Cricetulus griseus: one gene and its partners. The protein of the gene in region 1 purifies or fractionates together with the protein of each later gene. This does not show direct contact. Links are inferred from orthologs where the notes say so. Each region holds a gene or a part of one and is shown in the gene's direction. Other genes may lie near its edges.

Evidence for each region. Proteins that work in one complex are often made in the same cells at the same time.
Region 2: the proteins of Bach1 (region 1) and Maff purify together in Homo sapiens (affinity purification with mass spectrometry; 3 studies listed by BioGRID and IntAct, counting the BioPlex papers as one, with this or other methods). This does not show direct contact. The link is inferred for Cricetulus griseus from reciprocal best matches to the Homo sapiens genes BACH1 and MAFF.
Region 3: the proteins of Bach1 (region 1) and Hmmr purify together in Homo sapiens (affinity purification with mass spectrometry; 6 studies listed by BioGRID and IntAct, counting the BioPlex papers as one, with this or other methods). This does not show direct contact. The link is inferred for Cricetulus griseus from reciprocal best matches to the Homo sapiens genes BACH1 and HMMR.

The regions. Positions count from the first base shown.
Region 1 is NC_048597.1:9,660,020-9,663,661, reverse strand, and holds part of Bach1 (transcription regulator protein BACH1), read left to right. Parts: intron 1-1,210; coding exon 1,211-2,560; intron 2,561-3,642. UniProt on the Homo sapiens protein: Transcriptional regulator that acts as a repressor or activator, depending on the context. Binds to NF-E2 DNA binding sites. Plays important roles in coordinating transcription activation and repression by MAFK.
Region 2 is NC_048595.1:376,527,072-376,531,228, forward strand, and holds the start of Maff (transcription factor MafF), read left to right. Parts: upstream 1-1,314; 5' UTR 1,315-1,549; coding exon 1,550-1,602; intron 1,603-4,157. UniProt on the Homo sapiens protein: Since they lack a putative transactivation domain, the small Mafs behave as transcriptional repressors when they dimerize among themselves.
Region 3 is NC_048600.1:55,600,265-55,604,557, reverse strand, and holds the start of Hmmr (hyaluronan mediated motility receptor), read left to right. Parts: upstream 1-1,450; 5' UTR 1,451-1,528; coding exon of another isoform or gene 1,529-1,562; coding exon 1,563-1,644; intron 1,645-4,293. Other genes in the region: Nudcd2 (nudC domain-containing protein 2), read right to left, coding at 719-907. UniProt on the Homo sapiens protein: Receptor for hyaluronic acid (HA). Involved in cell motility. When hyaluronan binds to HMMR, the phosphorylation of a number of proteins, including PTK2/FAK1 occurs.

The DNA.
Region 1 (3,642 bases):
CTGACAGCCCTACCAGCATTGGAAGTGACCCAGTTTCATTGTTCTTGAAGAATTTAGTAGTGCTTATTTTAGTGGTTTCATGCTAAACGCTGTAAGGTTAGCATGTTTTAGGAGAGTCTTAGTATTTTGGTCAATCTGGTAGTAACTCAAAGTTTTAAGTGTAATTTGTATTTTTAACCCAGGTGAACTTTCTGTTCGAATTTGCAGGCTTTCCCACCCCCCACCCCTGCCTTGCATATACAGTCTCAGTGTAAACATACAGGTGTCTGCTCAGTTTGCCGAAGCAGCGGAGAGGTGGGGGCTTAGAGCTTTTGTAGTCTGGACTCTTAAAAATTTATTATTAGAAATAATCATTTTTAAAGATTTGGTTTTTTTTTAAGTTTTTTTTGTGTGTGACATATGTGTGCATTTGTGCATGCGAGTGCATATGTGATGTGTGTGACGTGTGTGTGTGTGTGTGTGTGTGTGTGTGAGTACACGTGTGATGTGTGTGAGTGTGTGTGACGTGTGTGACTGTGGATGTGTGTGTGACTGCATGTGTGATGTGTGTGACGTGTGTGTGTGTGTGTGTGTGTGTGTGTGTGTGTCATGAGCACAGGTGCCTGTGGAGGCATGGATCCCCAGCGCTAGAACTGCAGGCAGCTGTGAGCCTTCCCCGTGTGGATGCCGAGAGCCAAGTTCAGGCCTCTCTGCAAGAGCAGCCAGTGCCCATGATCTCTGACCTCTGTCCAGCCAATACTTTGATTTATTGTGCTTTTTTGATGGTTAGGATATTTTTATAAATACTTTTCATTTTAAAAGCTCCAATGTATAGTTTATTACTGTTCACTTTGTTTGGCCTCTGGGAGCTGTGCTAGCCTCAGACACCTTGCATACCCATTGCCATTTTCTTCTAGCAGGGCTGTGGGTGGACCCCTCCTGCTTTATTTCATAGATACTTATTCACATGGGGAGATCATGGTAATGTCTTCCTGAGGAAACCGTGTTGACGTGCTATTCCTAAAGTGGAGGACTAGTCCTGTGGCATTGGGTGGGACTCTGCTATACCACTCCCCTTTTCCTACCAAATAAAGCACCCATTCAGCATTCAGTGCTCACAGATAAGCGTGCACCCCCTGTGGCTCTTCTCCTGTTGTCACTGCTAGACAGCTGTTAAACCTGTTAGTCAGCTGTTAAATGACATGCTTATTTTTATCTCTCGTATTAACAGGTGACAGTTAAAGGATTTGAACCTTTAATTCAGTTTGCCTACACTGCCAAACTCATTTTAAGTAAAGACAATGTTGACGAAGTTTGCAAGTGTGTGGAGTTTTTAATTGTGCACAATATCGAGGAATCCTGCTTTCAGTTTCTCAAGTTTAAGTTTTTGGACTCCACTGCAGAGCAGCAAGAATGTGCCAGAAAAAAATGCTTCTCCTCACACTGTCAGAAAGCAGACTTTAAAATTTCACTCTCCGACCAGAAAGATCTAGAAATCGATGAGGCAGAGGAGTTCTTGGAAAAGAAAAGTGTTCAGACTCCTCAGTGTGACCCCCAGAGGTGTCAGCGCAATGTGAAAGCGTCACCCTCTCTCCAAGACAGTGCCAGCCAGACGTGCCAGTCCATATGCTCGGAAAAGGATGGCACCCTGGCGCTGCCATCTCTATGCCCCAAATACAGAAAATTCCAGAAAGCGTTTGGAACTGACAAGATCCGCACCCTAGAATCCGGCCTCAAAGATGTCCACGCTGCTTTTGTCCAACCCAATGAGACATCTGACCTGGAGTGTGTCGGGGGAGCACAAGGTTGCGCAGACTTGCAAGTGATTTTAAAATGTGAAGAAACGAAGCCAGCCATGGAGAGCGAGGAGACGAAGCGCAGAGACCCCACCTCTCGGGGCCCCACGGCGCAGAGTGGCGAAGTGGCTCCCTTCCCGCACAATTCTGCAGACCCTCACGGGCTCTACTCCCTGCCTCTCTTACACACATACGACCAGTCTGGTGACATGGGCTTCACTGGGGTGCAGAGTAAAACAGTGAAAACAGAAAAGCCTTTGCCAGGTGCGGATGCCCAGGAAGAGAAGCCGTTTGGTGAAAATCCCGATTTGTACCTGAAATCTGACGCGGGCCCCAAAGAAGACAGCAGCAGCCTTGCATCCGGCGATCGGAGTAGTGTGGAGAGGGAGGTGGCAGAGCACCTGGCCAAAGGCTTCTGGAGTGACATTTGCAGCACGGACTCTGCTTGCCAAATGCAGTTGTCACCTGCCGCGGCCAAAGAGGGTTCAGAACAGGGCTGCTCGCAAAGGCGCTCCGAGTGCCCCTGGTTGGGTATCAGGATCAGCGAGAGCCCGGAGCCGGGCCAGCGGACTTTCACAACTCTCAGCTCCGTCAACTGCCCTTTCATCAGTACTCTGGGTTCCGAAGGCTGCTCCAGCAACTTGGAAATCGGAAACTACGATTACGTGACAGAGCCTCAGCAGGAGCCTTGTCCCTACGCTTGCGTGATCAGCCTGGGAGATGACTCTGAGACCGACACAGAAGGGGACAGCGAGTCCTGTTCGGCCCGGGAGCAGGAATGTGAGGTGAGTGTGCTCTCACTGTTGACACAGCCATTCCTTAAGAGGTGCACTTGGTGCCTGGCGCAGAGAGGAAGGAGAGCCTGCCACGACACCAGAGTGGTGATAGGGCATGTATGGGGTTCGAAGAACTGCTGTGTGCTTGCTTGTATTGCACATCGGTGTGTGTATAGATCATGGAGGTGACCCCCACACGGGCTGTCGGACTTGTGTAATCAGATGCCCCAGTAGGGAAAAACGATAGCAGTTCTGTCACTGGTGGTTAATGGTAACTTTTGGACGATGGCATCATATAACCTGTAGTGTTCATAGCCCCAGATCGTCAAACCCGAGAACAGTGTGTGGTCGTGAGCCATGGTTGGCTGTGAGGAGCTGCAGGCTTGTGGCATTAAAGGGATGTTTTCTTAGACCTAATTTTTCCAGATCTATTGCTTTTATTTATTACTTGATTTTTCTTTAGTCCTTTCAGGCATTAGTTTGATGGATATGCGCTACTGACTTATCAGTTGTATCAAGTTTGACTTGTGCAGTCAGTGTATATAAGTTTATATTTACTACTGCATCCCTGTACCCTGTGAGACTCTGATTTAGTGACAGAAAGTAGGGACTATGCAGCAAAGGTCAGCGTTCTCTTTATAGTGGCAGTTTTCACTTTGCTTTTATTAGTAATTTTTAATCACACTCTTTCCCTTTGTATGCATGCTTTACTTGCTTCTGAAGTTTGTGATGACAGGCGGCCTGGCCTTGGAAGGGTTCCTAAGTGCACAGTGCTGTGTTAGCTCTGGTTTTTGTATTAACACAGCGTATCTCTGTAACTTGTTTTTGTAATGAAAAGTCACTGAACACCTGTTTCCCACTCCCCTCCTCCCAGCCCGTGGCTTCAACATCCTAATGGTGCCCTTGGTTACCTGTTAACATTACCGCCTATAGTAGTCGAGATAATGTAGGAAATTTGGTTTATTTTACTTAGTGCGATGTTTCTCAAACAGCTGGCTGAATAATATGTCACAGTTTCTTGATGTGCTCACCTGGGTGCAGATGTTCAGGTGGTCGTTGTGAGTGTGAGACCTGCAGTGAATAGGGGAAGA
Region 2 (4,157 bases), on another chromosome or scaffold:
CATGGTTTGACCATTACCAAAACAAGATCAACCTCTATGGGCATCGGGGTGTGGATATGAAGCCTTCCTTACTCCTTGGTGCTCTTAGGCTGGGGATGAGGCCAAAGGCTCTAACCACATGGAGTCCCCACGTGTCGTATGGTCTACCGGATTCCTTCACTAGTTGAGCACCTATTTGCCAGGCATGGCCTCAGCTCTTTAAAAGGTAGGAAAGTGGGGGTGAACAGGAGAGACAGCTCATGACTGTGTGCTTCTAGAGTTTGAGAACATTAGTTCAGAGGCCAGACTTTAAACAATTCTTATTTATAACTTTTATATGTAGCTTAAACTCATTTGTTGTGTGTCTGTGTGTGAGTGCATACATGCCACTGTAAGTATGTGGCGGTCAGAGGACAGCCTTCAGGAGTCGGTTGTATCCTTCCATGTGTAAATTGTGGGACCAAACTCCAATTGTCAGAGTTAGTGACAGGCACTTTTACCCACATGGTGGAGGCAGGAATCACTTGGGCAAGTGGAGGCACAGTTGAAGATCCAGGTCCCATAGGTACAAACAGAAACGGCATTTAAAACCACGAGACTGGATGAGCTCATCCGGGCAAAGGGTGTCGATCGAAGAGAGAAGAGTCCAGTGAACTGTAAAGTGAAGCGACATCTCCCCTGCCACTCTCGAGAGGTGTCACGTGAATGCATCCAGAGGACAAAGTCTGGAGGCTACTGAGAACCCAGGAAGCTCTGGCTGTGGGCCCCTAGAGCGGGGCCCACTAGGGGCGGGGTCTCACTTTGGCTGTGGGCGTGGCCTTGGCTCGGGCCGCAGCTCTGGGACCGGCCAGCGGCCGGGGCGATGACGTCAGTGCATGACTGGGTTTTTATGAATGAAAGGAATCCTGTGCGTGAGTAATTCCGGGAAGCTCGCCTTACAACTGCGCGCGGCTCCGGCCCCCTGCGCCGCCCGCCTCATAACAAAACTCCGAGCGGCGCTACGCGGAGCCGGGTTCCTAGTGAACCGCGGTCCCAGTTGGAGAGGAGTGGGGCTTGAGAGCGGCCTGGGACCGCCACCGCGACAGCTGCGGGGACAGCTGCGACAAGCGCGCACGTAGAGTCGGGCCTGGCAGAGAGAGGTAAGGACGCGTCAGGGACCGGGACCGCGCCTGGGGTGAGCGCTCCGGGTTGTGCCTGGGCCGCGCTGTGGGCGCCCCCGTGCATCTGCCCGCCGAGGGGCCTCCGAGGGGCTGGCTGGGGGACGGTTCGCGGGCCCCGGAGGAAGCCGGGGCGGGGCGGGGGGCGGGAGGCGGGGCGGGGCGTGCACGTACGTGACTCGGTGAGAACAGTCCTGGAGCCCGGCCCAGCACCGTGTGTGCGCGGTTTGTTTACGTCCCCCGGCAGCGGGGCGTGCGCGTGTGTTCTCTGGGGAGCGCCCTGGGTCCCACGGGCTGAGCGCGCACGGGGTACCTCTGGGTGTGTGTGTTTGTCTTTGGCCGCGCGCGCTCCCTGGAGACTGACACTAACCCGGTGTACCTTGAAGTGTGTGCACCGGTGTCCACTGGAGCAAATGCGGAATAAGGACCCGAGTGAAGGAAGTGGCCCAGTCGATGGTTACACCAGGTCTGGAATTTTTTTTTTCTCTCCCTCCTCCCCACCCTCCGCTATCCTCTCACTTCCCACCAGCCGGTACTGCCCGGCCCCAGTTGTCTCCGGAGTTTCCCCTGGTTGGAGCCATGTGACATCAGTGTTTGTTCCTCGCCCAGTGCGGGTGCCTGCAGCTTTAGGTAGAGCAGAAGTGAGCGAGCCAGCCAGCCGTCTCCTGGCCATCTGGTGTACCTGGTAACGAAGTACGTGGAAGTCCCTCTTTAGCCCCAGGTTTTCTGGCTCTGTATGGACTGTTCATCTCTGGACTGTCCCATTCCTCCGGTCCCAGGAGAAATAGAGAAGGCCAGAAAGGCCTTGGCAAAGATTGGGGAAGGCAAGGCTCCCAGGCTACAGTGGCTAGCCTAATCTGGATGTCTGAGGCTGCACCTGCTGGGTCCTGAAGGATGGAGTGAGGCTAATAGCCACACTTCTGGTAGTTTCAGTTCTCAGATGGAACTCGTTAGACTGGACCCCAGGACACACCTAGAGTCCACCCTGAACCAGCAAGATCAGCCGGCAGTATAACCCCTGGTCCTCCTTCGGGAAGGGTTAATGTGGGAGGGGAGCACAGCAAGAAAACACCTGCTTAGGCCAGCAACCTGAAGGACTGCTGGTTCCCGGAACACCATGGTCATACTCAAACTTTCCCTACTTGAGCGTTCTGGAATCCAAGGAGGTGGCAACTAAGCTTGTTAGGGGGCGGAATCAATGATACTTCAACTTTGAGCCAGTGAGTTCTGCTATCACTGTGAGAACTGCAGTGTCCCACCCCCATCTGCGGCAGGGTGGCAGGAGAGCTTAGTCCCTGGCAGCTGCAATGCACAGCCTGTTTACCAGGGGAAACTGGGAAGGCAGAGCCAACCCCAAGGCCTGCAAATGGAGTTGTGTGTAGAGTGGGTGGTTGAGGGGGCTGCAGCCAGGACCCTAGGATTTAGGTGGGTCCATCCTCAAAACTGATCAAGAAACACTCTCCAGTGGGGCTGGGGGGTTAGTGGTGAGGGGAAGTGGCTAACTGGCTCACTGACAGAGGGAAACTTAGCATGGAGAGATTCTGTTTCTCCTTGATCCCCAGGGGTCCATTAGAACCCAGGACCCCTAGGTAATGCCCCCCTTTTTAATGAGTGTCTGGTGCCAGCAGAGGTCAGAAGAGGGTCTTGGGTCCCTCAGAATTGTAGTTACCGATGGTTTTGAGCTATCATGTGGGTGCTGGGAACTAAATTTGGGTCCTCTGCAGGGGCAACAAGTGCTCTTAATCACTGGGCCATCTGTCCAGCTTACCTATTTTTTAAGGGAGGATTTATTTTGGCTCATAGTGTGAAGGGATGGGTATGTACTCACTGCAATAGGAAGGCCTGGTGAGAGCTGCTCACCTATGGCTGTGGTAGTGTGGGCTGCTGGCTCCCCTCTCACTGCACTGGGAAGCTTTGCTGACACTTAGCCTTTGCACAATGGCTGGGCTAGATGCTTAGGGTTGTAGTAAACAGACAGATCCACGGACCACATTCTGGGAAGGGGCCATGAAGGGGAAGTTACTTTGGCCTAAGTAGTAATAGGGCTCCTACTTAGCCAGGGTGATCATGGAAGTCTTCCCTGTGGAGGTGGCTAGGGAGTAGAGTTTGATGGTGCTGTGATTCTGGAACCCAGAGGACAAGGGCTGTGATTCCTTTTTGGCCATTCAGGACTCAACACAGGGCCTGGCACACAGTAGGTGCTTCTTGGATATGTGGATAGTTGAAGAAATGGGCAATGGGTCCATATCCCTGAGCTCCAGGGAAACAGAAAGCAAGACTGTGAACTGTAGGAGTCTTGCAGGAATTTCCCCCAAAATGAGCAGGTGGTGCAGGTAGCTTCTTCTTTCACACACAGAGCTGTGTTCCTTTTGGCCAATAGTCATTAGGAAATCCAATCTGCTCATTTGTTACTTATTAGCAAAAAGAATGCTGGGAGAGTGAAGTGAACATGTTATCAGCTGGGGGCTCCTTTGTGGGCTGGGACAGCTGAGAGCATGGGCTCTGTGGTTTTGATATTTTTTTCTAAAGATTGATCTAAAGTTCATTTTTATTTACATAGGTGTTTGTGCCTTAGTGAATTGATGTGTGCCATATGTGTGCAGATGGCTGTGGAGGCCAGAGGGTGTCAGATCCCTGGAACTGTAGTTACAGGTGGATATGATCCACTTGACTTGGTATTAAGGCCAGAACCAGGGTCCTCTGCAAAAGCAGCAGGTGCTCTTAACCACAGAGCCATCTCTCCAGCCCTATTTTTGTTTTTGTCTTATGTAGCCTGAGCTGGCTTTGAACTTCTGGTCTTTCTATTTCTGCCTCTTGAGGGCTGCCATCATGATGTATATGACCACACCTAACTAGCACAAGGACTTGAAACATGCCAAACATGGTCAAGTTTGTAGGTTTGTGCCTCTAGTGACCCTTTGATGCTATTGGAGATGGAGGTTGGGGCAGAGGAGGGAGTAAGGCAGTGGTGAGGCCACTGTGGTCTTGGTCTGGCTGGAAGAGGAAGTGGCCCCTAGCTGT
Region 3 (4,293 bases), on another chromosome or scaffold:
GGGTTTTCCTATGAAGCACACAGTCCTGCTTATCCTGGAAATTGCTTTGTAGACCAGACTGTCCTCGAACTCTCAGAAATTTGGCTGCCTCTGCCTCTTGAGCGCTGGGATTAAGGGCCTAGGCGTGCTACCACTGCCTGGCTTCTAAAAATTCTTAAGATCAAAAAAAGGTATAGCCAGATTCAAAATATATTGGTGGAATCAAATAAAAGAGGCACTATTTTCTTCACACACCTCTTCATTATCTTAATGACCATCTACGTGCAAGAAACTTGTAATTTAGAAAGCCAATCTGACATCACCTTCATCTGTTACCCAAACCCTGTTTGTTATTTCTGTATTTGCCTACACATCATGAAGAATTCACAAACCTTCTGCCTAAAGTCTCTGAGACTCAGATCAGTGCCCAGAAGATGCATCTGTACTTTTGATCTAGTTAGTCTTCTGTCAGCAGAGGAACCCCAGGGGAATTAAAGCAGCACATACCAGTGTTAGAAAAAGAAGTAAACGAAATCTTTATATTAACGTCCACGCTAGGTCTGATCTGGGAGTGGGTGCTACGATGGGACCCCTCGCCAGATCAGTTTACTGCTTTCTTTCCGCCAGCCAGGAACTGACCTTTCCACCCAGCAGTCATCCCTCTCAGACCGTGCATTTTTAGGACTCGGGGTGCGGGGAGGCCAAAAGAAGGAACTGGGGACAAGCCCTGGCTTGCTACCTTGAGGATCTCGCGGCCACCCACGGCTAGAGCCACATGCCGGCTCTGCAGGTCGCACTGGATGTCCTGCGCGCGTGTGCCCGGGGGCACCTGGACTTCAATGAACACCTCCTCCAGGGTCTGGTACCACTGGCCCCATGGCGTCCCGCACGGAACCACCCCACTACGTTCCTCAAACGGGGCGGACATTCTCCAGATGCCACGCACGGACCAGGCTCAGAGAGAGAGAGAGAGAGAGAGCACGGCACACGCGGGATGCGACTCAAGAGTTCGCCCTCGGCGCTTTGGGGTCACTGCACATGCGCAAAAGTCCAAGGTGGAGCGGCCGAGCGTGCAACTCTTTCCCTTTCAGGGCCCATTTAGGACACTCGCGAGACCTGGTGTGGAAGAACCGAAGTCAACATCTTAGGATGTTCCTAAGAACGGTGACGCCGGAACAAAGGAGAGAGGCGCTCGCGACCTTTAATCCTGTATGACGCCGAAATACGGACTCTCCTACGGGCCGCCTGCGAAATGCGCTTGCGCGAACTGAGTCCACTTGAGCAAATCCAGATGTCACTGGATAGAGCCGTAGCGGCGGCGAACAGGAACAGTCTCTCATTGGCTATCAGCTTAAACTTACAGGCCTCCCGATTGGACGGTGGTACAAATCTAGCGCGCATGCTCCTTGGCCCATTCAGGATTCGTCAGCTAGGTTTAGGCCTTCTGATTCGCTGAGGCGGGGACGGTGGGGTAAATTTGAATTCAGGCGAGCAAGCAGACAGTTGCTGAGGCGTTCGGTGGCCGTCGTCAATCCAGTGGTCACACACAATGTCTTTTCCTAAGGCGCCCCTGAAAAGATTCAATGACCCTTCGGGTGCGTACGGGTGCCGGAGCAGGGTGGGAAGGGGACCTCGCCCCTCCTATCTCAGTCGGCGGGACCCCAGGTTAGGGTTGGGATGGCATTTGTTTTTTTTTGTTGTTGTTGTTCAAAATACATGCAGTAAACACTTGGCGGGTGCTGTGTAGGGATGTGGCTCCGAGTAAAATCGAGCCTTCAAACGCGAAAGTCTACCAACAAGCTGTCAACGCCATGGTGAGGCTAATAGCTGGTTGAAGGGGTTTAGAAATGGCAGGCCTTTCGTACTTGAAGAAGAAAAAAATGTTACTTTCGTTAGAATTTCTCTTTCTTGTTTTGACATTGCATTCGGGTTAAGAAATAACAGCTGCTCCAGAATTCCATTCTCTATAAACAATCCTAAAGTAATATTTAGTGTTTTAGTGACTGAACACTGGAACTTGGTGTGCTGATGGCACCGTAAATGACAGTAGATGATGGTAGTGTCCAAAAAGTTAGGATAAAGGAATTTTTTATGTTTTCAGCATTAAGAAATAGATGTTTCCAGGCCTAGTGGCCTGAGCTGCATAGAAAGACCGTCTGGTACAGTGTTTTCTGTAGCTTGTCACACAGAGCTGAGTTTGAATCCTCATCCCACACCCCAAACAAGTTTGTTTTTCATACCTCTCAACACACCACAAGCTTAAATACTAGAGCAGTAGACCTGATGGATCTGCTCCCTGCAAGCAGTTTTGTCTAATGTGGAGATGAAGTAAATAAATCCTTATGAAAGCCTGGGAAGTTCTTTGGTACAAAAGATAGAAGATGCTATGAGGATTTTTCTAGTCTGATTTTGGGACTGTGCAAAAGCTAGAAACAATATCCCGACTGAGATCTGGAAGGTAAATGAGAATTGGCTGGGAAAAAAAAATTGGAATTGGCCTATGAATTCTAAATGGCTAACTAGAAAATACAGAAGTTGAAAAGCTTCAAGGCTTTATTTAATGTATTAAAAACCCCATACAGAAACACATTATTTCATTAGCTGATTTGATTGTTTTAAGTTAGAAGATGCCAACATGGGTAAGAAAAACATGAAAGAAAAATAATAATCAAACCAGCAATTGGAGCCACTTTGTGCTTAAAGATGAATTGTACCCTTAACAGCAGAGAAGGTTAACTTCATGGAAATCATCTGTTGTCTCTGACTTTTTTTTTTTTTCTTGGTTTTTTTTTTTGGTTTTTTTCAAGACAGGGATTCTCTGTGTAGCTTTGGAGCCTATCCTGGCACTCGCTCTGGAGACCAGGCTGGCCTTGAACTCAAAGAGATCCGCCTGCCTCTGCCTGCAGAATGCTGGGATTAAAGGCATGCGCCACCAACACCCAACTGTCTCTGACTTTTCTTATTTGTTTTTATTTTGTTGTTGTTGTTTGTTTTTGTTTTTGAGACAGGGTCTCTCTGTGTAACAGCTCTGACTGTCCTGGAACTCACTCTGTAGACAGGCTGTCCTGGAACTCAGAGATTCTCCTGCCTCTGCCTCCCAAGTGTTGGGATTAAAGGTGTACACCACCAATGCCTGGTCTCTGACTTTTCTAATAATGGTCTCATAGTCCTAATTTTTTAGAATTTTAACTAGAATGATATTTTATTTTAACTAGAATGATAACAGATTAGAGTTCTAAAAAAAAAAAATTGAGACACACAAGGAGTCAACTGTCTGCCTCATAAGAAAAGCTGATGGAATAATAGACATTTAATATGAAGGAGAAAAAGTCCAAGATAATGAGATAGTTATCTCTAAATACTTGAAGTTCATAATGGATAAAAGGGATTATTTGAAATTCTTGAGAGTTAGTGAAATACATATATATTAATTATAAGCAAGCACATTTCTAAGAGTACATATCTCCTGCTATGATAAGCCTGCTTGGAGCTGAACAGATTTTTATGTTAAGAGATTCAGACACATGTGGGACCAAAATAAAGTGGACATCAAAGAGATGAAATGGATACATTTAAAATTCTCTTCCGACATAGTCGTCCACTTTAGTGGCAGCTGTGTTGTAACTTGGCAGATTTTCATTGTTCAAGCATAAGAAAGCCCTGAACTCTGTTTCTATAAAGCCTACAGTTTATTGTATTTATAAAATGATAAAATTATGAAGTCCGAAATGGGAGAAAGTGTCTCTCACGAAGCTTGGCTTTACTGCACTGACAGGCTCTAATGGATACTACTGGTTTTCACTCCAAATACGGAAAATATGGCTATTCTTCTTTGCTCTCTTCTTCTAAGAGATACTTCTATGGAAAAGCTGGATTCATACTGCCTTGGATTTGGCAAGCAGCCGGGTCTATCACCTGGCCCATCCTTTCAAAGAGGACAAACTGCTAGATAAAGGAAGGTACACTGAAGCTAGGCATCATGCTACATGTGATCTAAGCACCCTGGAAGCTAAAGTAAGAGGCTCATGGATTCAGGATGAGCCTAGAGTATATTGTGACTTCTGGGTGAGCCTGAGTTCCACAGTAGAATGCTGAAGAAAGACTATGAAGCAAAAGCATCATAGTATATTGGAATATCGTGGGAAATACAAGTTTTCTGGAACAATTTATATTAATTCATGGACAATGACTGAAAACACACTCAGCCAGTTAGTATTTGTTTGGGGGGGGGGAGCAGAGTGGGAGGGGTTTATTTGGCTTCCAGGTTACAATCTATCCTTAAGGTAAACCAAGGCAGGAAAAGCACAAACGGAG